Solanum lycopersicum: one gene and its partners. The main gene of each other region encodes a partner of the protein of the gene in region 5 in a complex. Links are inferred from orthologs where the notes say so. Each region holds a gene or a part of one and is shown on either strand. Other genes may lie near its edges. The genes, in order: NAD(P)H-quinone oxidoreductase subunit S, chloroplastic; NAD(P)H-quinone oxidoreductase subunit N, chloroplastic; NAD(P)H-quinone oxidoreductase subunit O, chloroplastic; photosynthetic NDH subunit of lumenal location 1, chloroplastic; photosynthetic NDH subunit of lumenal location 2, chloroplastic; ORR; photosynthetic NDH subunit of subcomplex B 5, chloroplastic.

Evidence for each region.
Region 1: photosynthetic NDH subunit of lumenal location 2, chloroplastic (region 5) and NAD(P)H-quinone oxidoreductase subunit S, chloroplastic share a complex: the UniProt entries of both Arabidopsis thaliana proteins name them as parts of the chloroplast NDH complex. The link is inferred for Solanum lycopersicum from reciprocal best matches to the Arabidopsis thaliana genes PnsL2 and NdhS.
Region 2: photosynthetic NDH subunit of lumenal location 2, chloroplastic (region 5) and NAD(P)H-quinone oxidoreductase subunit N, chloroplastic share a complex: the UniProt entries of both Arabidopsis thaliana proteins name them as parts of the chloroplast NDH complex. The link is inferred for Solanum lycopersicum from reciprocal best matches to the Arabidopsis thaliana genes PnsL2 and NdhN.
Region 3: photosynthetic NDH subunit of lumenal location 2, chloroplastic (region 5) and NAD(P)H-quinone oxidoreductase subunit O, chloroplastic share a complex: the UniProt entries of both Arabidopsis thaliana proteins name them as parts of the chloroplast NDH complex. The link is inferred for Solanum lycopersicum from reciprocal best matches to the Arabidopsis thaliana genes PnsL2 and NdhO.
Region 4: photosynthetic NDH subunit of lumenal location 2, chloroplastic (region 5) and photosynthetic NDH subunit of lumenal location 1, chloroplastic share a complex: the UniProt entries of both Arabidopsis thaliana proteins name them as parts of the chloroplast NDH complex. The link is inferred for Solanum lycopersicum from reciprocal best matches to the Arabidopsis thaliana genes PnsL2 and PnsL1.
Region 6: photosynthetic NDH subunit of lumenal location 2, chloroplastic (region 5) and ORR share a complex: the UniProt entries of both Arabidopsis thaliana proteins name them as parts of the chloroplast NDH complex. The link is inferred for Solanum lycopersicum from reciprocal best matches to the Arabidopsis thaliana genes PnsL2 and NdhM.
Region 7: photosynthetic NDH subunit of lumenal location 2, chloroplastic (region 5) and photosynthetic NDH subunit of subcomplex B 5, chloroplastic share a complex: the UniProt entries of both Arabidopsis thaliana proteins name them as parts of the chloroplast NDH complex. The link is inferred for Solanum lycopersicum from reciprocal best matches to the Arabidopsis thaliana genes PnsL2 and PnsB5.

The regions. Positions count from the first base shown.
Region 1 is NC_090807.1:67,427,465-67,430,034, forward strand, and holds NAD(P)H-quinone oxidoreductase subunit S, chloroplastic, read right to left. Parts: upstream 1,378-2,570; coding exon 625-1,377; 3' UTR 501-624; downstream 1-500. UniProt on the Arabidopsis thaliana protein: NDH shuttles electrons from NAD(P)H:plastoquinone, via FMN and iron-sulfur (Fe-S) centers, to quinones in the photosynthetic chain and possibly in a chloroplast respiratory chain.
Region 2 is NC_090808.1:66,282,384-66,286,477, reverse strand, and holds the start of NAD(P)H-quinone oxidoreductase subunit N, chloroplastic, read right to left. Parts: upstream 2,801-4,094; 5' UTR 2,531-2,800; coding exon 2,392-2,530; intron 901-2,391; coding exon 536-900; intron 444-535; coding exon 327-443; intron 233-326; coding exon 147-232; intron 1-146. UniProt on the Arabidopsis thaliana protein: NDH shuttles electrons from NAD(P)H:plastoquinone, via FMN and iron-sulfur (Fe-S) centers, to quinones in the photosynthetic chain and possibly in a chloroplast respiratory chain.
Region 3 is NC_090810.1:1,415,295-1,418,762, reverse strand, and holds NAD(P)H-quinone oxidoreductase subunit O, chloroplastic, read left to right. Parts: upstream 1-1,242; 5' UTR 1,243-1,339; coding exon 1,340-1,568; intron 1,569-1,632; coding exon 1,633-1,709; coding exon of another isoform or gene 1,710-1,741; intron 1,742-1,943; coding exon 1,944-2,009; intron 2,010-2,113; coding exon 2,114-2,155; intron 2,156-2,265; coding exon 2,266-2,325; intron 2,326-2,692; coding exon 2,693-2,722; 3' UTR 2,723-2,968; downstream 2,969-3,468. Other genes in the region: uncharacterized protein, read right to left, coding at 3,409-3,468. UniProt on the Arabidopsis thaliana protein: NDH shuttles electrons from NAD(P)H:plastoquinone, via FMN and iron-sulfur (Fe-S) centers, to quinones in the photosynthetic chain and possibly in a chloroplast respiratory chain.
Region 4 is NC_090809.1:53,936,876-53,940,230, forward strand, and holds photosynthetic NDH subunit of lumenal location 1, chloroplastic, read left to right. Parts: upstream 1-1,300; 5' UTR 1,301-1,447; coding exon 1,448-1,574; intron 1,575-1,652; exon of another isoform or gene 1,653-1,666; coding exon 1,667-1,753; intron 1,754-1,821; coding exon 1,822-1,895; intron 1,896-1,975; coding exon 1,976-2,098; intron 2,099-2,217; coding exon 2,218-2,289; intron 2,290-2,375; coding exon 2,376-2,472; intron 2,473-2,545; coding exon 2,546-2,649; 3' UTR 2,650-2,855; downstream 2,856-3,355. UniProt on the Arabidopsis thaliana protein: NDH shuttles electrons from NAD(P)H:plastoquinone, via FMN and iron-sulfur (Fe-S) centers, to quinones in the photosynthetic chain and possibly in a chloroplast respiratory chain.
Region 5 is NC_090804.1:2,507,848-2,511,679, reverse strand, and holds photosynthetic NDH subunit of lumenal location 2, chloroplastic, read right to left. Parts: upstream 2,506-3,832; 5' UTR 2,465-2,505; coding exon 1,982-2,464; intron 1,892-1,981; coding exon 1,793-1,891; 3' UTR 1,773-1,792; exon of another isoform or gene 1,678-1,772; intron 1,578-1,677; exon of another isoform or gene 1,439-1,577; coding exon of another isoform or gene 1,223-1,438; intron 1,130-1,222; coding exon of another isoform or gene 1,006-1,129; intron 915-1,005; coding exon of another isoform or gene 697-914; 3' UTR 501-696; downstream 1-500. Other genes in the region: casparian strip membrane protein 2, read left to right, coding at 697-914, 1,006-1,129, 1,223-1,438. UniProt on the Arabidopsis thaliana protein: NDH shuttles electrons from NAD(P)H:plastoquinone, via FMN and iron-sulfur (Fe-S) centers, to quinones in the photosynthetic chain and possibly in a chloroplast respiratory chain.
Region 6 is NC_090803.1:56,432,396-56,435,214, forward strand, and holds ORR (NAD(P)H-quinone oxidoreductase subunit M, chloroplastic), read right to left. Parts: upstream 1,518-2,819; 5' UTR 1,408-1,517; coding exon 955-1,407; intron 844-954; coding exon 661-843; 3' UTR 501-660; downstream 1-500. Other genes in the region: uncharacterized protein At1g21580, read right to left, coding at 2,191-2,664. UniProt on the Arabidopsis thaliana protein: NDH shuttles electrons from NAD(P)H:plastoquinone, via FMN and iron-sulfur (Fe-S) centers, to quinones in the photosynthetic chain and possibly in a chloroplast respiratory chain.
Region 7 is NC_090808.1:66,330,462-66,334,624, forward strand, and holds photosynthetic NDH subunit of subcomplex B 5, chloroplastic, read left to right. Parts: upstream 1-1,458; 5' UTR 1,459-1,551; coding exon 1,552-1,785; intron 1,786-2,123; coding exon 2,124-2,187; intron 2,188-2,467; coding exon 2,468-2,530; intron 2,531-3,026; coding exon 3,027-3,085; intron 3,086-3,191; coding exon 3,192-3,422; 3' UTR 3,423-3,663; downstream 3,664-4,163. UniProt on the Arabidopsis thaliana protein: NDH shuttles electrons from NAD(P)H:plastoquinone, via FMN and iron-sulfur (Fe-S) centers, to quinones in the photosynthetic chain and possibly in a chloroplast respiratory chain.

The DNA of each region.
Region 1 (2,570 bases), on a different chromosome or scaffold from region 5:
TTATAAAATTTTGGTCCATCTGTTTGAGAATCTGTCAAAATCTTGCAGTTTGCACCATTGTATACTCTCTCTCAGGCTAGCTATCATTATTGAACTTATCTACATCGATATCGACCTGTTGTCCAATTGGATGGAGTCTAAGATCCACCATATGTGGTGTCAGAGGTACCTCATGCTTGTGAAAAGTAAGAATTGTTTTATCACTCACTGTTAAATACTGTATGTTGTTGTTCTGCTAGACTCTCTCTTTGCTCGATAAAACGTGTGATATTTCAGATCCTCATTACTGATGGTATCTAATGATCTATGAATTGATCAGAAGAACATGCTAGGATTCATTACTTAAACAAAACTAGATCTTGTGCAATCATATTAAATATTTGACTATATGTTTTGCAAGTGGTTTGAATTACCTGATTCTTATTTTTTACGTTGTTTTTGTTAAGAGTTCTTTCGAACATCACTGCTAAGAGTTGAACTTCTCATTTGGGACAGAACTCTTCCTGCACAAAAGTTTTTCTGCATTTCTTATTACATGCCATTGCCATTACAAAACTTACAGCTTGTATGTACAACAACCCAAAAGACAAAAGAACAAACAATCTACTCAAAAACTGAAGCAATTCAAGCTTCAGAGCTCTTTTCTACCATCTTCTCAAGTATCACAGACTTAAGATTCACCATTGGCGGTCCTTTCTCTCTACGTTCGAGTTCTTCGAGCCTGAAAGATATCAACCTATCCCAGTTCCCACCTTCAAAAAGCACAGCAGCCTTACCATCAGTAATCCTCTGCACAATCCCACAATACATATAATATGGATTATTAGAATTCTTGACAATAGCAATCATCCCAGGTAACAAAAGTGGCAATTCAGGTGGCTTTGGTTTCTTCACAAGACTTTGATTAAAACCAGAAACCATACTTGATTCTGTTTTCTTGGGTGGTGGTGGTGGTGGATTTTTCTCTATAAATTTCATTAGACCCTTCTCACCTCCCGGAAATCCGCCAGTAAACCCCATCATTTCTTTCTCAAATCCGTCCTCCGGTATCTCCCCAGTCTCCTTGTTTTCTTGATTATCATCATCACTAGCTGCTGCTGCTGCTGATCCTACTGCCTTTTGTTCTTCGGAAATCGACTTTTTTAGCTCTTTCTCTATACCCTCTTCTCCATTACACAGACCTCTACCTCCAAGAATCTCATAAAGATTGAATTTTGCTATTGGTGTAACTGAGTTTGAAGATGATTTCATAGCTGATTTGGTATGAACACTACTACTGAGGTTGAGATTGACAGATTGACCAAGAAAGTTTGATTTTTTAAGAGGTGGGGTTTGAATTTGAAGGCTTGAGAGTTGAAAGGAAGAAGCAGAAGCCATGGTTTTGATTTTTTTTCAAGAACTTTGGATTTGGGAAAGATGATGGTAGAGGATGAGATGAGAAGTAGAAATGGGAAACTGTAATTTGTCCTTTCAAATTCTGACCACCAATCTGTTTTTGTTTTGATATCTTCTATTGACAAATGAAACACATGAATGATGTTATCTTCCTTGGAAAAAGATTAAACTTGCACTCATGTTTTACACCATCCTTTCAAAAAGAATCAGGACCACACGTGAGGAATTGCGTTAAAAGTAAATTATAATTTTTATATTCATTTATGAAATTACACGAGATATATTATGTTTTTCTTTAATAATTTAAGATTTTTTTAAAAAATGATCATATGATTTAACTTGATGATCAGAGTATATAGAGGTATTAGATTCGCGCTATGTTGCTATTTGTTATCAAAAGGAATTTCTAAAAGTCAGGACCACACATGTGAAAGGGGTCTTGTAGAAGATATAGTTGATTAAATAAGAGGGCGTTTGAATTGATTTAAAAGTCAGTTATTTTTATTTTTGGAAGTGTTCGATAAATATAAAAAATAACTTAGAGTAAGTAAAAAATGGCTTAAAATAAGTCAGAAAGTGTTTGACAAAGTTAAAAATAACTTTAAAATGACTTAAAATAAGTTTAAAATCAAAAGTAGGTCTTCCTCTGCCTTTTATTTTTTAACTTATAAATCATTTAAGTTTGACATTTTATTTTTGATTTAAAAGTTACTTTTTAAGTTCATCTAAATAGCCTCTAAAGTTGTTTTTTTAAAGACGTAATTTTTCACAAATTGCAAACATAAAAATCATATTTGTATGTTGTAAATATAGTTTGCATAATTGCGTTCCATAATAAATTTTATGTTTGCTATGGAGTTTTTGATTTGTATAATTCGCTAGATACATCCAATTTTATTCAGATTGTTCAGTTTTGTATAAATTCATTTATAAATTGTAATTTGTATAATAAGATCTAGATTTATATAATCATAAGTATATAGAACGAATATATATATATATATATGTGTGTGTATGTATGTATGTATGTATGTATGTATTTGTATATAATCTTTTCTCTCGTTTCATACAAACACAAACACATTTTATACATTCTATATCGAAATATATAAAATGTCTAATTATATATCGGAAATGACTAATTGTATAGCGAATCAGATTACAAAAGAATGGAA
Region 2 (4,094 bases), on a different chromosome or scaffold from region 5:
GACCACAGAAGGCTAAACTGAAGTAAATCCAGGTAGCTTTTGCATACAATGTTGTTTTAACCACAACGACAAGATCTCAAAGTTTCCTTATTTACAAGAGAGTTGATTGATAAACAAGAAAAAGGAAGATGAAAGGAAAATCTTACCAGTTACCACACTCTGCAATGACCCTCACATTAGGACGAAGTGTCGGGAGTAAAGCAAGAAACTGCAGCTCTGCCTTTGATAAGACCTGAACATTTTAGGTCAAACAGTTAACAAAGATCTAGTCAAAATACTGCTGATGGACTAATTAGATGATGTACACTTGAAGGGGTGGATTTAACCTTGGCTTCTATTATCCAAACCACTAATCCTTTAGCATCCGGAGGAAGTAAAGAAAGCCTATAATCAACTTCTGGAGGAAAATACCATCTAGCTATTGGTTGCTTACCAACATGAGCCTGCAACATCAAAATTTGCAGATGAGAGTCAATTAGACACTGCAAGTTAGTGTTTGAGAATAAGCATATCGTATGCGAACTGCTAAACTTACAGGGCAGACAGGGTGGAATTTGGTAAGAGTGGTTTCAGGGTCACCGAGGCCACGAGCCGAAAGGTCCAAGAAATGATATCCCTGGTACTTAAGACGTGTAAGGTAGCGTCCTTCATAGCCCCCTTCATGAGGAGAGTAAATTGCTATGGCTTTGTGTTCTTCCACATCTGATAACCATTGACCCAAATCAGGTTTAATGAGATCTCCACCTATGAAGTCCTGAAGTTCAATGTTACATCTAATTGCTCCTTTCTTTTGTCTTCCAACTGAATCAAGTCTTCTCGTTCTCACAGCCTTTGATATGCCATTTAATTGTACTCGTTGCTTCTGCAGACCATAAGACTGCACTGCCCCTTGATAACAGGCTGCATTTTGCCATTTTAATTCAGATTTCATGGTACATGACCGAAAGAACAAAGGCATCATAATGAAAAACATTGAACGTTAAGACATCACTCTCAAAATTTAATTAATGCGAACAGGATAACAGTATCATTTTGGTGCTGCAAGTGTGCATTTCCACATGTAAAAGGTAGAAAAAGTTATAAATAAGTCATTTTCCAAAGAGAACTGATAAGATTATGTTACAGGGAGAACTGAAAGGGTGCCTACTGTAAGCAACCTGTGAAACTCGAGAACCAGAAGTCAGTTTTTACCATTGTCAACAATGGCTAGAAACATTGCCAATGCACTGCTTAATGTGACAGTGCATAACAGTAAGCACAAACATTTTCAGCTTTATAGACCAATATTAGGGAAAGTCTGGATTTCATACCATGTAAAACAATAACAATCGGGAACAAATGTGAGTTGGAGCTGAATCTCTACTCACCCAAAAAACAAAACTTCAAAACATAATTAAGTAAATGTACACTTTCACTACCTACCCCACTAATATTTACATATAACAAGCTGGAATCACCCATTATGATATCAAGTCTTGATCTTTTTAGTTCTTTAACCATCACCCTAATTTTGTAACAACACATAATAGCAACTAAGCATACGTCTTCACACACACGCACACCGTGATATTGAACTATAAATCTGAAAATTGGGAACAAATGCGAGTAGAAGCTGAATCTCTACACACCCAAACCATAGCTTAAAAACAGAATTAAGTAAAGTGTACATATCACTCCCTACTCAACTAAATATTCACATTTAACAAGATTGAATAGTCCATTAAGTTAAGTCTTGATCTTTTCAGTTCTTTAACCATCCCCCTAATATCAAGATATTATAACAACACATAATAGCAACTAAACGTTATACATCTTCACACACACACACACACACACCATGATATTGAACCATAAAGCTGAAAATTGGGAACAAATGTGAGTTGAAGCTGAATTTGTACACAACTTCAAAACATTATTAAGTAAAATGCATACTTCCACTCCCTACATAACTTAATATTTACATTTAACAAGCTTGAATCAACCATTAAGTTATCAAGTCCGTAAAGATATTGTCATCCGGACCTAACTCAATCGCAAAACCATACACCCTCCTTCACGCTTAGGCCCCTTGAGAGCGAGAACCAAAAGCTCACACCGGGAATGAACCTGGTACTCATACCATGTAAAATTAAGTTTTAGGCCTATCTAAACTACCTCAAAGGTAGGAGGTGCTCAAGCCTTAACCACCAATATGAACCCCTTTTTTTTAAAAAAAAATAAAAATTAACACCCCACCTCACACAGATGCAATATTATTACAAAGTCTTGATCTTTTCACTTTTTTAGTGATCACCCTAATATCAAGATATTGTAACAACCCATAATATCAATTAAGCATTATAAATCTTCACACTGCGCACACACACAGAGAAAGGGGTTATTGGGGATGACCTGAAGAGGAACAGGGTTGGTCTTCAGTGGAAATATTGGGGCGCCGCCGGCAAGAAGACCCATTGCTAGTAATCAAGAACCTCCTAGTGCTGCTGCTGCTGCTGGTGGTGCTAGGGAAGGTGTAGGAGAGAGTTGTCATTTGGGTATTTTGGTGGCAGTGTGTGAGTGGTGGCAGTAGGCAGCTATAGCAACAGAGACTGTGGAAGGACCATTGCAAACTTGGACAAAGATGACTACTTTGTTCCTTGCCACTCAATAAATGTGCTGATAAACTTTACAATAAAGAAATTACAAATAACAAATATTTAAATATGCATAATAATATTAGCTATATAAATTTATGGGATAAGTTCTATATTTTAAAAATTGAAATGATGTTTTGGGGAGAATTTAAAATTTGAGATAACATAATCTCAAATTAGTTATTCAAATTTTAATTTTATATTGTATATTCAAACATAGCTAGAATAATAATCATAAGGTGAGAGTTCAAACTCTATTGTAACTTTTTTAATGAAATAATTTTGTGATTTAGAAAAGAACAAAAGCCAAACTTAAACCTAATTTATATATTTTGGATTGAAAATCCAAAATCCAAGTAAAGATTATGAAATTTCCAAACATCCTATTTAATTGCATAAGTTGTCCTTCAAATAAATTAATTTTTATTCTTTTATATTTTGAATTTTTAAAATAAAACAAAGTTAAGTATTCATTGTAAAATTCATAAGGAGTAAGAACGTTCACCACAGATAAAATATGAATTGTGATACGACCATTAACATCTAAAAAAGACAATGTTTCACAATAATTACTAGTAAAACTTTTGAAACACATAACAGAACTCCAAAAATAATTGGAGCACATATATCTCCTTCCTTTAACTAGAACACGTACTATGGTGCTTTGATTCCTGCATCATATTTTGAAAATAAATTTATACCTTATAAGACATAAGTTGTTTAAGATAACAAAATATAACCAACACTCAATATATAATGATTTTAAAATATAAATTACCAGTGAAAATATTATTTATATAGTATTAAAACATAAAAACTAAAACCAGCTCTGTTGTAAGAGGGAAAATAAAAAAGACAAACTTTAGGGCTTTTTATATAGTAATCTCCCTATCGAAACCTCAAAGATTTCCCATTTCTGCAAAACCCAAATGGAATCCAAAGAGGACGAAGCCTCCCAAAGCGGAGCAAACCCATGGAAATTCAGTCCATTTCAAGCAAAGATTTAGTTTTGTTAAGGCTTCCGGTGAAATCCCTTTTACAATTCAGGTCTGTGTCGAAATCTTGGCTTTCCTTAATCTCTATCCCTAAATTTGTGAAGACGCATCTCTTATTTTGTGCTAGTAACAAGGAGTTATGTTTAAGGTTGCTATTTATGTTGGCTAGTTATGTGTAGTGATTTACATCGCCATTCTGTAAAGGAGGTAATTGACTTGGATTATCCAGGTAAAATTTCCAAAGACTATCCTTGGCTGGTGGGTTCGGTAAACAGATTGATTTGTGTTGCCTATGTAACAAATTGCATGACTTGTTTATATGGAATCCGTCAATTAGAAAGTATAGCAAGTTGCCTAGTTATAGACTTAATCGATGTGGTGGATATCAAGTGGAGGAACCTGGGGATAGCAGATTTGGTTTTGCGTTGATGTGCTTCAAGATGATTACAACGTAGTGGGAGTTTGC
Region 3 (3,468 bases), on a different chromosome or scaffold from region 5:
GTGCATAGCCCATGAATTTTTTTAAATCCAAAAATTTCCAAACAATATGGCCAAAATTTTTCATGGCGTCCGTAAAGAGCTAAGGAATGAAACGAGTTCATCCCGCGGGGAAAAATGATGTATTTTATAATTCAAACGAGCCCCTAAGAAGGCAAAGGTAGTTTTTATCGATTTTAGTGTGTTATAGCCCATAATATTTTTTATCCATAAATCCTAAAACAAAATGACCGCATATTTAATAGACGACCATTAAGACCTTAAAATGGAACCACTTCGTCCTGCGGGGAAAAAAGACACATTTTCAAGTTTAAACAAATTCCAAAGCAGACAAAGACAAATTTTATCAAATTTCTTGCTCTGGGGTTCAGTTGAACTTGAAAATGCACGATTTTTCCCTGCGGGACGAACTGGTTCAATTTATATGGTTTTAACGGATGTCAAAAGAATTTGGCCATTTTTTTATATTCCCGAATCAAAAAGAAAATCATGTGATATAACACATAAAAATTGGTAAAATATGTCTTTGCCTGCTTTGGGCACGTTTGAACTTAAAAATGCATCATTTTTCTCCACGAGACGAGCTAGTTTTATTTCTAAGTTTTTAAAGGACGTCCATGAAAAAATTCGACCATTTTGTTTTGAATTTTTGGGTAAAAATAATTTATGGGTTATGTCATACGAAAATCGATAAAATCTGTTTTTTACCTACTTGTAAACAAAAATTGAAAAAAATGAGGGTTTACCTGCTCTGGATCGTTTGACCTTCAAAATGGGGTGTTTTGATCGTGGTGACTAACTGACTCCATTGATAAGATCTTAACAATCATCCATGTTAATTCAGAAAATATGACGTCAGAGTTCTTATTCACCAAAAATTTCATAGACTATAGCACAGAACACTCGACAAAATTGGGGGTTTACCTACTCTAAACTCGTTTAACCTTGAAAATGGGTCCTTTTTAGCTGTAGTGGCCAATATGCCCCATAGATAAGGTTTTAACTATGTTAATTTTCGGCAAATAACGTTAAAATTCTGGATCACTAAAAAGATGGTTTGACCTTTAAAATGGTCGTTTTGACCGTGACAACCAATTGGCTCCATAGATAAAAGTTCTAACGGACGTCCACAGTAATTTTCAACAAAAATGACATCGAAATTCAGTATTCAAACTCGAAATCCTTAACCGAGAATAGAGTAATCCCATTTATTAGCAGACTAATTTTTGTTATTCAAATCTGGCCGTTGAAGAAGGGGGAAAAAGGGCATGCCCTTATCTACTTATATTGGCCACAACTAAACTAGTTATATCTCCAAAAAAAAAAAAAAAAAACTATAGAGATGGCTTTCTCTGCTGCATTTTCACACACCTCCTTCATATATTCATCATCTTTTTCACAAACAAGAAAAAATAGGATTAATTATAGCCCTTTTGTTATTAAAGCAGAAAATAGTTCATCTGAACCACAAGAAAATAATGAGAAGCCAAAATCTCAAGCAGCAGCAGCAACAACAACTTCTTCTAGTACAACAGCCACCGCAACAAAGCCTAAAAAACCGGTTTATTCTAGTGAGTAGTACTATTTCATGAAAATGTCTCAAATTTCACTAATTTTTTGTTTATAGAAGTTTAGCTTTTTTGTTTTGGTTGGCAGTGAAGAAAGGTCAGATAGTCAGGGTGGAAAAGGAGAAGTATCTGAATAGCATCAATGTGAGTTTTGTTTTTTTTTGCTACTTCACGAGGTAATGATAAGGTTTATGTACACTCTACCTTCTCAGACCTATTTAGTGGGACTTCTTTAATAAAGATATATATACTATAATTTTTTACCAATCAGCATTGTATCCTCTACATGCTTATGAATGATGATAATAATCTGAATTGGAAGTTGTGGACACCCTTGCACTGGAATTTGACTGTATATTTTTGTATAAATTTCTTCAGTATTTGTCTGTTGATCATCCACCTTATTACAAAGGTCTGGACTACATATATGAAGACCGTGGTGAGGTACCATTTTCTTATTTCTCTATAGATCATGTCAAAAGGGATAACAAAATACAATTTGGAACAACATGTTATTTATAAAATAAACTAATCATATATCTGTTTAGGTATTGGATATTCGTATATTCGAGACAGGAGAATATGCACTTGTAAGTATATTTTTTTCGAAATTCAATTTATTATATCAAAACACACCTCGAAACATAAATTTCACTGAATATATAAAGAGATCAAAGTTGAGAGTTTACCTATGCTGCAGATTGGATGGATCGGAATACCAACTGCACCAGCTTGGCTTCCAACAGAGATGCTAATTAAGGTAATTAGCCTTTTGAAATCATTCAAAATACTAAAGCAGCAATTTGCATCATTTCATGAGTACCTTTTATGGTACACTATTAAAAAAACCTCCTTGCACTTCAAATGAGAATCTCTGGTGAAAATTATTTTGGACAAACTCATAGCAATTAACTGCACGGAGGTTTGGGGAATGGACCGGTGGGTTGCTTATATGAACTTAAGCAATCCTCCCAAGTATCCGGAATGGACTGGTGGTTTGCTTATATGAACTTAAGCAATCCTCCCAAGTATCGTATCTTTATTTGATGATACAGTTTCCACCTTGCTAAAAAGCAAGTGGTCTGTTGCGTAATCACACATTCCCTAACCAATAACAAATTTTGCAGTCTGATAAGCTGGATTACGAGAGAATATAGTGGCGAGTCCACAGTTACAGACCAGTACATGCCAGACGAGTAAATCAAAGTGGAGCATCAGATTGACCGCTGCTCATCAGAGATGAAGAGAGATGAGATGGACACACCTCCAGAATTTACTTATTGCTAAATATATTATTATTCCTTAAAGATCACTCAATCAGCTTCTCAGTTGACACTAAATAATCGTTAAATTGATTCTTAAGAAGCTTAATATAACAATCCTGGACTATTCAGTAGGTAAAAGACAGCTTCCAGTAACAATCAAGAGACGTTCTAGATCAACTGAAATATAAATAAACAGCAACATACCCAATGTAATCCCACAAGTGGGGTCTGGGAAGGATAGAACTGAAATATGATATCAGTTAAACACAAAATACCTTCCATATTGAATAGAATGGAGTCGGTTTATAAATGAATATCGAAATGTACGTCTCAATGTACCATTAATTTTTTCATAAAATTATAGTGTACACACAATATACAGTAGGCAGGTAACTGGAAAGTCTCAGTGTACAGCAGCCTGTAAAAAGGGAAGGTGAAGAACAGGTGGTATGGAGTATAAGTTATCTGTATTTTTTTCTGTAAACAATGCTGTACTTGGTATCAATATCTGAAAGCGATGAGGGTGGAGAATGAAATGAAGAAATTAATGAAGAAATGATGCCAGGAAAAATCAGAACTTACAGCCTTCTCCTAGCACGCTTAGTAGCATTCATAAGCTCTGTCAACGAAGCAAGGGG
Region 4 (3,355 bases), on a different chromosome or scaffold from region 5:
TTCAAATGTCTCGTGAAAGATCAACTACGATAAAAAAAACATTTGCTTCACAAATACTTCAAGGCTTGTCTTTACAAGTTCGACAAATCAAGCACCTCAACAAGCCTCAAAGTAGGGGCATTTGTAAACACTGAAGTTTTATTGATAAATCCATATTACATTTGGATTAAATCTTAAATCACCATATGTTGACCAAGTCAAATTACTGGTTGATAAAGTCTAATTAATATCTAAGCCAAAATTGTATGACTTAAATCAAGTCCAAATCATTTGGATCATTCCATTAAGTTGACAAGATGAGCCCAACTCATGTTCTTCAGGCCCAGGGATCAAAATTGCTCAGACCAAAATACCCTAAAGCCCTAACTCAAGCCTATATAAAGAGGTATTCTTCTGACCAAAAGGACAAAAAAAAATACATATACACAGGAATACATAATTGCTTTTCAGCATATAAAGAAGTCTTCGCTCCAAGGGTTGAGCCGCAAGTATTCCGCCAAATCAATAACATCTGTGAAGAGAAGAATCAGGGGATTAAATATCTTTTTGAGATATTTTATAAAGATTGTAACCTTAGTATTAATTCAAATACAAATATTATTGTTTGCTTGCTATTTTTCCTTTCCTGTATATTGTATTTCAGGATTGAAACTTTAGACGCATACACTGAGATTTGGATCATCCAAGGTACATTAACATGGCGTACTCCACCCCTGGTACCCTTTGATCATTCTTCAATTATATTTGGCGTTGCATTTACACAGTTGATGAATACCTCCACGCTAGGATGTAAATTGATCATTGATGCATCGCCAGTTGGATTTCCTTTCAAATAGCTTGTGCTATACAGTGATTGAAAGAACCTGTGCTTGGTTTTTCCACATCAACATGGGTGCATTTGATATCACATTTCATATGGTCGAGTTGTTAAAGTATCATTATCTTAAATTCTTCGAAGTCAATTGTTAAGGTTTTTAGCATTGATCAACCCATTAATTTTTAAGTTATAAGTTTACATTTACTATCTATTGCAATTTTGATGAATTTTTACACATAAATTTATATTTCGCATTAAAAGTACTGAGTTCAGATAAACTCGGTATCAATACATTAGATCCGCCTCATCCATCAAGGATTCAAGTTTGTGCTGTTGTTACATACAGATATTTATGACATGGTAAACTTGTGAAAAATTTGCAAGAACAATTAGTAAAAATTATCAATGTGGATATAGTCAAATTTTAGCCCCACATATGAAGCACAGCTCATTTAGTTGTAGTTGAAAGAGACATAAAAGCCCATTTGGACCTTGGCAGGAAAGGTCATCCTCACATTTAATTTGCATCTTATCCTATTGAGCAAGAAAAAATGATGGAAAAAAAAGTGATTGTATTAGGAGAAAAAATAAACATGTTAAGCAAAAATCTAGTGATTTTTGTCCACAAAAATGGCAGCTACTTCACTCTCATTGAATCTTGGGCTTCCATCACCAGCAGCCAACAATTTGAATAGGCATGGCTTACACAACATTATTACATGTTCGGCATCAGAAAACACGTCCCCTAATCAACAGAGTAAGAAAATTTCATATCGATCAATTATGAAGTCATGTTTGCATTTACGCCATTTTCTCCGTGGTAAAATTCTACTAGTATCTCTGTTTCAGGATGCTTGATGAGAAGGTCATATCTATTAGGAGCAGGGGCTCTTTCGTTGGGTTTATTATTACCCGCGACTCCCCTTCTAGCTCAAGGTACTCTGTTACTATAATTTTTATTCTCTAAACTTTTTACTTTTTATAATTAAATGACGTGTATGCAGGAGTACCGGAGAACTATGAAATCTTTGTTGACAAACGAGATGGTTATTCGTATTACTATCCATCAGATTGGAGGGTATGTTGCTTCTTTTTTTTTTAAGAAATGAATTTTTAGAAATTAGTAAACTCTCATTTTGACTTTGGATGTATGTACAGGAATTCGATTTCAGAGGTCATGATTCTGCATTTAAAGATAGGTATCTACAACTGCAAAATGTAAGACTTAGTTTTATACCAACTGATAAAACAGATATCCATGATTTGGGGCCAATGCAAGAGGTAAATCGCGGTACTATTCATCTATGTAGCCGTTTTTTATTAAGCTATCAAGGAGGAGAAAAATATAAAAAAGACATGTATTTTCTTCGTCATACCAACTTATTTCTACTTTCCTAAAGGTTGTGCCCGATCTGGTAAAACATGTTTACTCTGCACCGAATCAGGTGGCAAATATAATGGAAATGAAGGAGGTATGATCCTTTCTTATTCTCTTGATTGTACAATATACGTAGCTCTTTTTCAATTAGTCACCATATTTTTGTTCAAAATTATGTAGAGAACTACGGATGGGAAAAACTATTTCACCTTTGAATATGTATTGACATCTCCAAATTTTTCGCGGGCAGCATTTGCTACTATAGCAATTGCAAATGGTAAGTGATCTGGTTTGTTTCCTTTAACTGTACATTACATTTTTCTGCATTCGTATTAAGACATTTCGTACAGGGAGATACTACACATTAATCGTGGGAGCGAATGAAAGGCGATGGAGAAAATTCCGCAACAAACTTAAAGTGGTGGCTGATTCATTTCAGGTGTTGGACATTTAGAATTGTTCTAAGAGCTGCAATGATAGAGTCTTGTTCCATGAAACAGGATTTGCAATTTGTTTATTGAATTACAGTACAAAGAATGTTTCTGGCTATCCCATAAGTAACTGAAATCCCCTTGTAGTTGAAGCGGTGAAGTGTTAACGACAAATTTTAAAGTGATGGAAAATAAAGCACAAATAAAGTACGGCATGATACATATCTAATCTTGGTTTCAAATTTTAACTTTGACCTCCAACGTTCATAGTAAACAAACAAACACTTCAATTATCTAACCCTTTAATAAATAAACACGCGAGTCGTACCTGGCAAACATGTAATGTGCATGTATTTTGTGCGAGTTAGGAGTAGTAATTTTTGAGGTCCACAATGGTAAAAAAATGCTGAAATAACAACTCCACCATTAATGAATCCCTTTTATATATTTTTTTATATTTCCAAATCAAAATTCATTTAAATTTTTTTTAAATTCTAAAATGGACGCATAAAATATTTAATTAGTTGGCAGTCATTGAGTGGCTCACTAATATACGTGGGAGCATTTGCATTTCACTCTCTTTGTCTCCAAAAATCGTGTGTTTATTTATTTAATGGTATGATAGTTTAAGTGTCTATTTGTGCACTATTAAAGTTGGAGGTCAAAGTCAAAATTTGAAGTCAAGTTTAGGGTCCAATATATGTATTATGCCTATAAAATATGATGAAA
Region 5 (3,832 bases):
CATAAACTTGTTCTTTATTTTATTTCTCATTGTTAATCAAAAAGTCAACCTATTCATTATTTTACTTTCTAGTATTCTAATTTCTCATGTTTGATTCTTATGTTCAAGTAGAACTTTGTGCCTAATCCAAAAAACCATTTAGGACCATAACCATTGTTATTAGTATATTATCAATTGACCTAATATAATAAATCAATGATCATAAAGTGTGTTTGCAAAACATTAAAAAAGAAAAAAAAGATAGGACAAAGAATGTTGAAGTTTTTATCGGGAACAACCTCTCAATTCCATAAAGTTAAAAGTGACGTATGCATACATACTACCCTTCTCAAATGGATTGCAACGTGTCGTGTGCTGTTTTAATATCGCGATTTCTCGTATATAATGATACATTTTCTCGAGAAAAAATACATTTTCAAAATACATGTTAGGAAGAAAGTAGAGCAGGTAAAAAGTGTAGCAAGTTAATGCAAGACTTAACTACTTTATGGAATATCATGAACCAGAAAGTTGTACATTTCATTGATTAAATAAGCAAAAGCAACAACTAATTATGTGTCATCAAAACCTAATACTATTTGTAACTCTGTTACATGATTTGGTTCACTTGTTAGTATAAATTCGCATCACACTTGACATACAAATCATAACAACAAAATTTCATTCTAGTTTCAAAGTTTGAGCTAAAAGGAAAAAATGAAGGCAGTATCAATTGAAACTGGAGAGGGATCAAAGGCCAAAAGAGTTCATGGAGTGAACAGAGGAATCTCTGTATTTGATCTTGTTTTACGTATCGTTGCACTTGTTGGAACCTTAGCAAGTGCTGTGGCAATGGGTACTGCAGATCAAGCACTTCCATTCAGTACACAGATTGTAAATTTTGAAGCTCAGTATGATGATATCGACTCGTTCAAGTAAGCAAAACTGCAAACATATTATTACATGAAATAGAACAGTATAAAGGTTAACTAACACATTTTTTTGTTTTGCTTATTCTGATTGAAGGTTCTTCGTGGTTTCGAATTCTATAGTTTGTGTATATCTTGCACTTTCTATCACTATTTCAATCTTTCACATTATCAGAAGTAGAGCAGGAAAGAGCAGAGTTTTGCTCATTGTTCTAGACGCGGTAATACATTAGATTTCTGCTAAAGTTTTCATATTTAGTACTTTGTTATGATGTTGTACTGATATCTTTTATACTTTGCGAAAACTTTTGAAGATAATGCTGGTTTTCCTCACATCTGGAGCATCAGCAGCAGCCGCGATTGTGTATTTGGCACACAATGGCAACACTTCAACTAACTGGTTTTCGATATGCCAACAGTATACAGATTTCTGTCAACGTTCTGCTGGATCCCTTATCGGTTCTTTTGGTGCAATGGCCTTGATGGTTATACTTATAATTTTGTCATCTATCGCTTTATCAAGGCGCTGAAGATGTTGGCTACACTAGCAATTGCTAGCCTTTGTGTGTGTATTGTGTTTGTAAATGTTAGTTTCATCAGTTGCATTTCATTGTATCAAGATTTTCATCAGTTGTATCACATAATGAAAAGATTTCCTCCTTACTTCAATGTTTTCATCTTCAAATATCACGTTTATTCAACTAATAGTTATTCTCTCATAAACTCGTATGTAATCTTGATTCCAATTTCATCAACTCGCAGACCAAGCTTATAAATGAACATAAAATTGTATATAATTTCAACGTTTTTCGATCAGTTTATTTGTTAAACCAACGCGATTTTTCTGCTACAACATTCACTCACCTTTGAGCCTGATGATATTATTATGCAAGTAATCCCACCAATTCATCAATTGATTTCAACGTCTTCTCATAGAATACACGAGATTCATATACCTTTGGTGTTCGAATGTAGTAATCAAACTGCAGACGAAGAAAATACATAGAAATATCCATAACACTGAATAGAACCTCGAAAAATTCTGAACAGGGAAAATAAGGACAGTTAGTTACCTCAGCCATGTTATCAGTAAGCTCATTGACAGTTTTAATATAAGACTCTTTTCGACTTTCAGGCACCCTGGATAAGGCATTCTTCACGTCCTGTTTAAGATAAGCTGATTTAAGTCGTATATAAAACAATACATACCTCCATGAGTTAGTCTCCAACATCTCTTTAATACTATGTAGTCCATCTGCTGTTTGACGAATTCGTGCTACTGCATCTTCAGGGGACAATCCAGGCTCAAAGAAATGTTCTCTTAAGAATGATCGAACGCCCCAATTTTCAGCTAATGCTAAAGGGGTGAATTGTAGGCCTAGTGTCAATGGAGTGACTAGAAAAGTCGCGATGAGTTTGCGTCTACATGAGAAGTTTTGTTCATTAGTTGATAAGTTAGATTGGATTTTGGGTAGTGTCTTGCATTGTGTGTGATGAGTTTTGGTTATTTTGGTTTTTGGATGGAACAAAGTTGTAGGATTTGTGAAAGTGGTCATTTTTGTGTTGAAAAAAAAAATCTAAGGAGTGTTTGATGGTTTTTGTGTGTGTTTTGGATGGATATTAATTGATTTCCCTAAATCCAAAATGGACCTTAGGTTTTGGTGACTTGGCAAATATTTTATCCTCTTTTTTTCCCAATAAATTTTGGTGTTGTTGGGTCAATGGTGTAAGAGGCTTTGTTCTAGTTGGCCCAATTTTGGAATTTGTTTAACTTAGGGTTGGCCTTGTTCAATTTGAAACTAGTTTTACTTGGTTCGCATTTTTTCGGAATCAATCAAGACTGAACACTAGTAGCCCTATTTCATTGACGGGTTGGGATCAATCTTCTATCAATCGAACAAATTTCTTATGTTTTTCCCTTGAGGCATTCAATTCTCGTATCAAAACAAATTTGAGTTCAACATTGAGATTAGACACTAAAAACCATTTAAATTATGCTGAATTTTTCAACTATACACTCCTGAAATAAGTTATCACCGTCATAGAGCAGAGTAATGGTATCAGGATTAGTTATCCCAAAATAAAATAATGAAACTGACAGAAACACCCTTGAAGTCTATGATGTTATTTTTCTACACTACAACAAAAATAATTTTTGGCGGCATTAAATATTGACATTGATAAAGAGTGCGAAAGTCTTTACCGGCATTAGTTAAGTATCATTAGAACCAATGTTGCTAAATATTTTATGGACATATACAAAGAGTGTCAATTGCCGCTAAAAATACATATTTAACGACAATTAATGATTATTTTTGTTATAATGACTGGAGAGTATTTTTGTGAACAAATTATATCTTCTTTAAAATTATGAAATACATGTTATTTAGTTTTTGATATAACAAATCAAATCATCAATAAATTATCTTCATAAATAAAGAGATATAAAGCAATTTAGGCAAAAATAATACATTATTGATTGTGCATGAATAATTGCTTTACAGCTAAAATATCTAATGTCTCTAGCTCCCACATAGTTGGACTAATAATAATTGCTTTACAAATTAAAGCAACACCTTTAATTTACAAAAAATAATAGATGAGAAATGAATGGATTGGGATGATAAAATTATATAAACGAATTATAACTTAACTGAAAAAAAGAAATAATTAGAATTCTTTTGTAATCCCTATTAGTATAAGGGTCGTTAATAGTTTGTTTGATTAAATATTTTAAATACAAAAAATACTTGATCAAACTTTAAGCGAAAAAATAAGTACTTATAAATTAGTAATAATGCTACTCGTTGAATTATGACATGCGTAAAAATACATCTTGAAAATATTAGTGAAATATAAATTACTAATAAAAATACTTTTCAATAATTTAGTTAAACACAAACTGAATCAAAGTACTTTTTTCA
Region 6 (2,819 bases), on a different chromosome or scaffold from region 5:
TATAAATAGAGGGATTTTCTCTCCTTTTAAAAGAACGAAAATTCTGTCTCTCTTCTTCTTCTTTTTCACAATTAAATATTTGTGTACATTGCTCCGGTTAGTGACTCACTGCCACCATTGTTTATGTTACAGATTCTAGTATATATTTTTACAATCATTAATTTATACTTATGTTATTAAGATTAAATTATAAGATGTAATAATTTTCATTTTTTTTTACATTATCAATAGTTGTTCTTACATAATCTTGTATGTAAGATAATATAGTGTGTTAGTTTTAAAGTCTAGTAAGTTTTACATATTATTTTAAAATTTTTGTGGAAAAAAACGAATAATTTTATAATAAAGTAGGTTGAATATAGATGAGGTAAGCTTAAATATATGGAGTGGTGTAGATATAGGAAATCTCAAACAAATTTGAAGCTATTGCAATTTTGATTGGGGGTATTGATACAATGCTTAGATGATTAGGAATATGAAAACCACAGTATAAAATACCCTTTTGCCACCAATGATTAGGTAGATAACATTTGTATTGTGTATAATCCATTTGGGAAAAGTTCTCAAAACAGACAGAGAAGGTGAAAGTTTCTTATACATTGTTACAACTGCATTTTTTGCTACTCATTGTTTCAATATAGTCAACATTGTTACCTGAATTTACTGGTTTACATCTTCCATTTGTCCATTGTAATTGAACCCAACTCTTGGTTTCCCCATACTGAAGTTAAGAACTCTTGCATTCATGTTGTATTGGATTTCTCCATTATAGAGAAGTTTTCTTATGTAGTGCTCTATGTCTGAACCTATCAGGCGAAGCGTGTACTCCGTCAATGGAGCTCCCTGGTCCAGATCATAAAAAGTTATTGGAGTTAGCATTTCTATTTCTAATCCATTTGGTACAAGAGTGATTGCATGATTAAGCTTGTATTGATGAAGAGAAGTTTTCATTACCTCATAATGATCAACAAGTTCTTGGAAGTAAGAATAGACTTTGGTACAAGTATCATCAGTCCACACAAATTCATCAGTAGGGTCAAGAAGGAGTGTGAGTTTATCCATTTGTGTTTGATCGAAAGCAAAGGTTTCGGGATCAATATAAGCTGCATATATTCGAACATGTCTAGTAGCACTACTGAGCCATTGTCCTCCATGTTCTCTGGTCATGTTCTTGCTCTGCACATTTATTTGTGGTTCTACTGGCCTTGGCTTCTTCATTGCCCCCTCTTCTTGTTTTTCTTCTTCTTTCTTTTCTTCCTCTTTTTTTAGTTTTAACTCTTCAACTTCTGCTTGCTGTGCTGAAACTGAGAAGAAGTTTCTCCTTTTGAGTTGTTTATTCTTTCCCTTTGTGCTCCAACTTAACATGCTGAAATGGGTTGAAGCCATGTATGTTGAAGTTGCTGCCATGTTTCCCCCTTTCTCCTAGTGTTTTGTTATGTGTGATTTTTATGGCCTTTTCTTGAATGTTGGTATTGGGATATTAATATATCCTCCTTTTTGTGTGGATAGGAAATGTTTGCTTACATATGGCTTCTTTTTATTATCTTATATTTTTTTTGTTCTGTGGCTGTGCTTAATAAAAGGTTAATTACAAATTACTCACTTTGAGGTACTTAAATTACTTTCGTTTTTATCCCTGTTAAACCAGGTTTAAAGGTTTGGTTAATTAGTGAATCCGAGCCATGAAAGATAAGTATGCAGGGCGTTTCACTTATATAGACAAAACCAAAAAATTTAAGTTCAGAAGTTCGTATGGTGGTGGATCTATTAAAAACAATCTTTTTTATCCGTGTATTCATCACTACAAAAAAAGAATGCTTACCTGTCAAAAGTAAAATAAACATAACACCAGCTGATTGAATCTACAGGTTCATTATCACCTGTGATAAAGACTCAATAAGAGAGTTCAGATTGACTTGAAAATTGTTAAAGAACAAAAGTCAAACAGCTTCCAATAAAGACTTGTACATAGGGGATAAGATTTTCATTTCCTTTAATTCTCTCACTATAACAACAGTTTTCTTGTTCTATCTCACACAACAGATTTTGCGAAACAAAAAATATGCCTAATCCTAAGACCTATACCTAAGTAATTAACTAAAAGCCTAACAATAAAAAGAAAAAAAATTGCTCTGCACTAGCAGAACACTACATAAACCTAATTACACAACCTCATTTACAATGGTGAGGCTACTCTGATACATAGCTTGTGGTCATATCACTTGGGCTATCTATATAGGGAGATGAACCTACAGACCTATTCCTATTTATCAGACGCACGGGCTTAATAAGCTCATCGAGATCATCCAGTTGCATCTCTGCTGGACCACTCTCGCAAAGTGGCTTTTCCTCGCTTCTCTGATCAATAGTCTGTTCCTCTTCGTCACTACCATCTAGGCTAATAAAATCGACAAACTTCCCTTCAAGGAATATGTCATTATTCCCCTTGACAGAAGGCTTCTCTGATCCAGCTGTTATGCACTCAGAAATATGAATGTGCGGAGAGCCAAAGTAACGACCTCGACCATTCTTTAACTCGCTCAAAGCTTTCCTTTTCGCTCCCTTCCTTCTGTTCTTCGGATGGTGAAGCTTGCAGTTTGAACCTTTGGGACAGTTGCCAGTTGCTTCAAAAACGGGGCAGACATAGGTGTGTTTCTTCTGACACTGCATGTTTAGAAATATGACCCATTTCACAAGTTTCAAGATTAGAGTGTTGTGTGTTTGTGATGATCTACATCTATTGTAAAGAACATATTAAAATAATACTGAAATAGTTGCATTCAGAGAAAGAGGTGACATAATAGGTAAAAATACTTGGC
Region 7 (4,163 bases), on a different chromosome or scaffold from region 5:
ATATATAAACGCAACCTCCATAGCAAATGAAATTATAATTATGAAGCGCAATTATTGAAACTATAGCTACACAGTCTTATTATATCTATGATCTTTGATTCAAACTTGAAATGAATTTACATGGTCATATTCGTTTAATTTGTATTAATATCATGGTAGATGGATTAGATAGATGAAAATATTATTGTCGTTCTTTTGTATTGAATTTTGGATATACATAAAAGAAAGATACAGTATACGTACAGTTGCTTAATAATTAAAGGAAAAATTATATAAAATATCAAATTATTAATTCAAATTAATGTTATAATCATACTTTGATTTAATTGTAACTCGTAGCAAACAATTGTCATTCACCTCTCTCCCCGACGAATTTCGCTTGCCACTCTCCCAGGTCTTGCTCGTCACTCTCCCTCGTCTCACTCACTTTATACAAAAGGCAAATGAATAAATTGTGTTTGTATTTGTATAAAGCGGGAGAAAATTATATGTACACATACATATAATTTCGTCATATACACTTATAATTATACAAATACAGATTTCCTCTACAAGTTCTCTTTTGTCATTCTCTCTTTCTCGCTTTATATAAACACAAATTACAATGTATACTTTGTGTTATATAACTCGAGAGAGAGAGCGATTTGATATACAAATGTTTTATTTCGATACATTGTATACAAATTCAAATTTTATGCAGATATACAAACACATAAAATTGAATTTAGAGGTTGTCAACGATTTATACAAACGAGAGGCTGCCAATGATTTAATGTACCATAGCAAGTATAAAATTTGGTATGGGCCGCAATTATACAAACTATAGTTATAGTATACAAATATGATTTTTTATGTTTGCTAAACCTAAACTTACTTATAATTAAATAGTTTCCTATTGAAATAATTATTTCTGTATGAATGTCGTCGATATTTTCCTCCTTTTTTCTCCCTTATTTTTGTCATAAGTTGGAAAAAAATTTAAAATTTTGAAATATTGGTGAAAATATTTTTTTAAAATAGTTTTAAAATAATTTTTATAATGGTAAGCAAAAAAAAAATCTGGTTTATGGCTAAGAGAGGCTAATTTATTTTGTTTAAAGCATTTTGAATAATCTCATTTAAATAGACATTTACGTTCTCCAATTCTGGATATGTACAATTACAAGCAGACATATAAATATGTATATAATTAAACAAGTAGACACATCCTATGTGACATCGTACGTGACAATTTGCATCCTATATAATGTCCTACGTGCATTATATCACGTAGTACGTCTGTTTATGTTTGTTCAATGTTATATAAATTTAAGTGTTGATTTATCTACAATCAAAGTTGAAAGACATAGATGTCAGATGAAATCAAGTTAAAAGGGGTCGGAAATTGTGGTAACACAATAAGAGACTAAATAGATATTAAAAAAAAAATATAAAACCATAATATATAATAGCCTTATCCACGTATAGCCTTAACCATTCAAAATATATGGATAATAAAGTTAGAAAACATAGAGTAAACAAGCAAGAACAGAGCAACACTACTCAACAACAATGGAGAATTCTTTAACACTTTCACTACTCTCCACAATTCCAGTTCCCAATTCAGTATTCTCAACAAAATGGAGTGTTCTTTTTCGAGGAAATCCATGTTCGATTTCCTCGAAAATTGGTACAAAATGTGGTGGATTTAGATCATCAACAAGATTGTATGCAGGACTAACAGAGATAGAACCAGATATCAACGAAGATCCTGTTGATCGATGGAGAACTAATGGCATTGACATTGTAATGTTTCTTTTCTTTTCTTCGTTGTTTTTAAATAATTGTAGTGTTTGAGTAAGTTTAATATCTTTCATCAACATAGATATCGAATAATTTTGATATAATACAAAATGTCCTTTTAACTTGGCTTTTTTTAACTGACAAATGTATCTATTTTTTCAATTTTATATAAGTCTCTATTTGTGTACATCGAAAATAAGAGGATATAGATGTAACTGAAACAAAATTGAAGGGCATATTTATATATTTATGTAATAATTTTTTTTTTATTGAAATTTTGACGGATTTATTTTAAGGCAGACGCATGTTAACTAATTTTATTTTATTTTAATTTGTTGCAGGAAGATTATGTTTTTGGAAAATACGATGATCATCATACGTACTTTGAAAGTGAAGATAAAAAAGGTACATAACAATATGTGTGTGTTTTTTTCGATTTAATTTGTAATTTGAATTGAAAAATATCTAAATTTGTCCAATGTATTATTATATGAATTCGATCAAGTTAGTCTTCGTTCGACTTTTCGTTTAATAAATCGTTTCATATTTGTCCAACGTGAAATTGGTGAACTCCACGTGTTCAAATTCTTCGAAAAACACAATATTTGAGTAGCTATTTTTACAAAAATAGGTAAATGTATTTATACTTAAACTATACTTAATTCTATATCACTTGCATTTTCAGTATCATTTTGGGGATCCATAGCAGAAGATTATGCTGCTATTGCACCCCCAACAGGATTTCAAGGTATGTAACAAATTACCATAATAATATGATCATTAACTTAGTCATTTACTTTTCGCACTTTGACTAATTTCACGAAATACTTTCCATCAGCAACAAGTATCAGCTAACTCTATCCATCTACCAACACCGATTGTGGTTCACTGGTGGGAGTGTTTCACTCTTAACCACAGGTCTCGGGTTTGAGTATTGGATATGATCTATTGAGAAAATCATGTTGGGAGCGTCACCCTCAAATATAGGACCTGCAATGTGCGATTCGAATTTAGTCGTAATTCCAATGTAAGCTCCGGACATCGGGTGGAAAAAAAAAACTCTATTCATCCACAGTGGATAAGACAAATGAAAGGATCACCTAGAATTTTTCTTCTCTCGCTGAGAATTGAACGTGATGAGACCTCGTGACTCTTAACCAGTTCATTGACCACTAGGGCACACCCTTGAGTGCTTCTTTAGTTATTTACTTAAAATAACTTATTTTTCTGGTGTTCGACAATAGGTATCATTTCATGGCTGTTTCCTCCAGCAATAGTTGCAGGAATGTACTTCAATGTTCCTGTAAGTTAATGACTAAATCTCTACTATATTACACATTTTTCGAGGCTCGAAAACACCCGTTTCCAGCAACTAAAAGTCTTGTATTTTCACTTCTTTGACAATGCAGGGGGAGTATTTGTACATTGGAGCAGCTGTGTTTACAATTGTGTTCTGTATCATTGAGATGGACAAACCAAGTGAAGCACACAATTTCGAGCCTCAAATATATAACATGGAGAGAGGTGCGCGAGATAAGTTAATATCGGATTATAACACAATGGACATTTGGGAATTCAACGAAAAATATGGTGATTTATGGGATTTTACTGTTAAGAAGGACGATATCATGAAACGATAGAAATAAAAAAGAACAACGAATTCATATGTTCTGAATATATCATTAAGGTATCTAAATGAATCGCGTAATGATCATTGGATTTCATCGATTACTCGAAGATGCATATGATCTGGTGTTGTTCCATGGTTGTACTATATGTTTCTTAACTACATTGAGATGAAAAAAAAACTCTAATGAACTCCCTAGCTGAAGAATTACACTGTATATATAAGGTCAAAGTTATATATTTCTTATTAGTATATGTCAAATCCCTTTATCAATTCTTTATATTTTGAATTTCCTTAATAAAAATTCTGATTGCGCTACTGCGATGAGAGTTGTATAAATCAAAGTACATAGGATGTTTAAAGTTACATTAAGAAGGAACTTAAGAGTTGAAAAGTTTGATTGAATGATGAGTGATAACTAACATGATTTGGCTTTTTTTTCTAATATTTTTTATGAATGTTCTGATATTGCTTGTTGTATGTGTAAATATACCTACTGAATTAGCTCTATGTACTACTTCCGTTCCAATTTAAGCGACACTTTTTGAATTTCGAGATTCAAACAAGTCTATCTTTGATCGTAAATTTTTATATATATCTTTTAATTATTTTGAATTGTCAATTATTACGACTTATATTACTTTTAACGTAGTTTACAAATATATAAATTTAAATTTTGAAAAATATTAAAGATTGTACGTGCAAATTTTCGATCATACTTAAACTATTTGACTCTGAAAAATGAAAAATATCA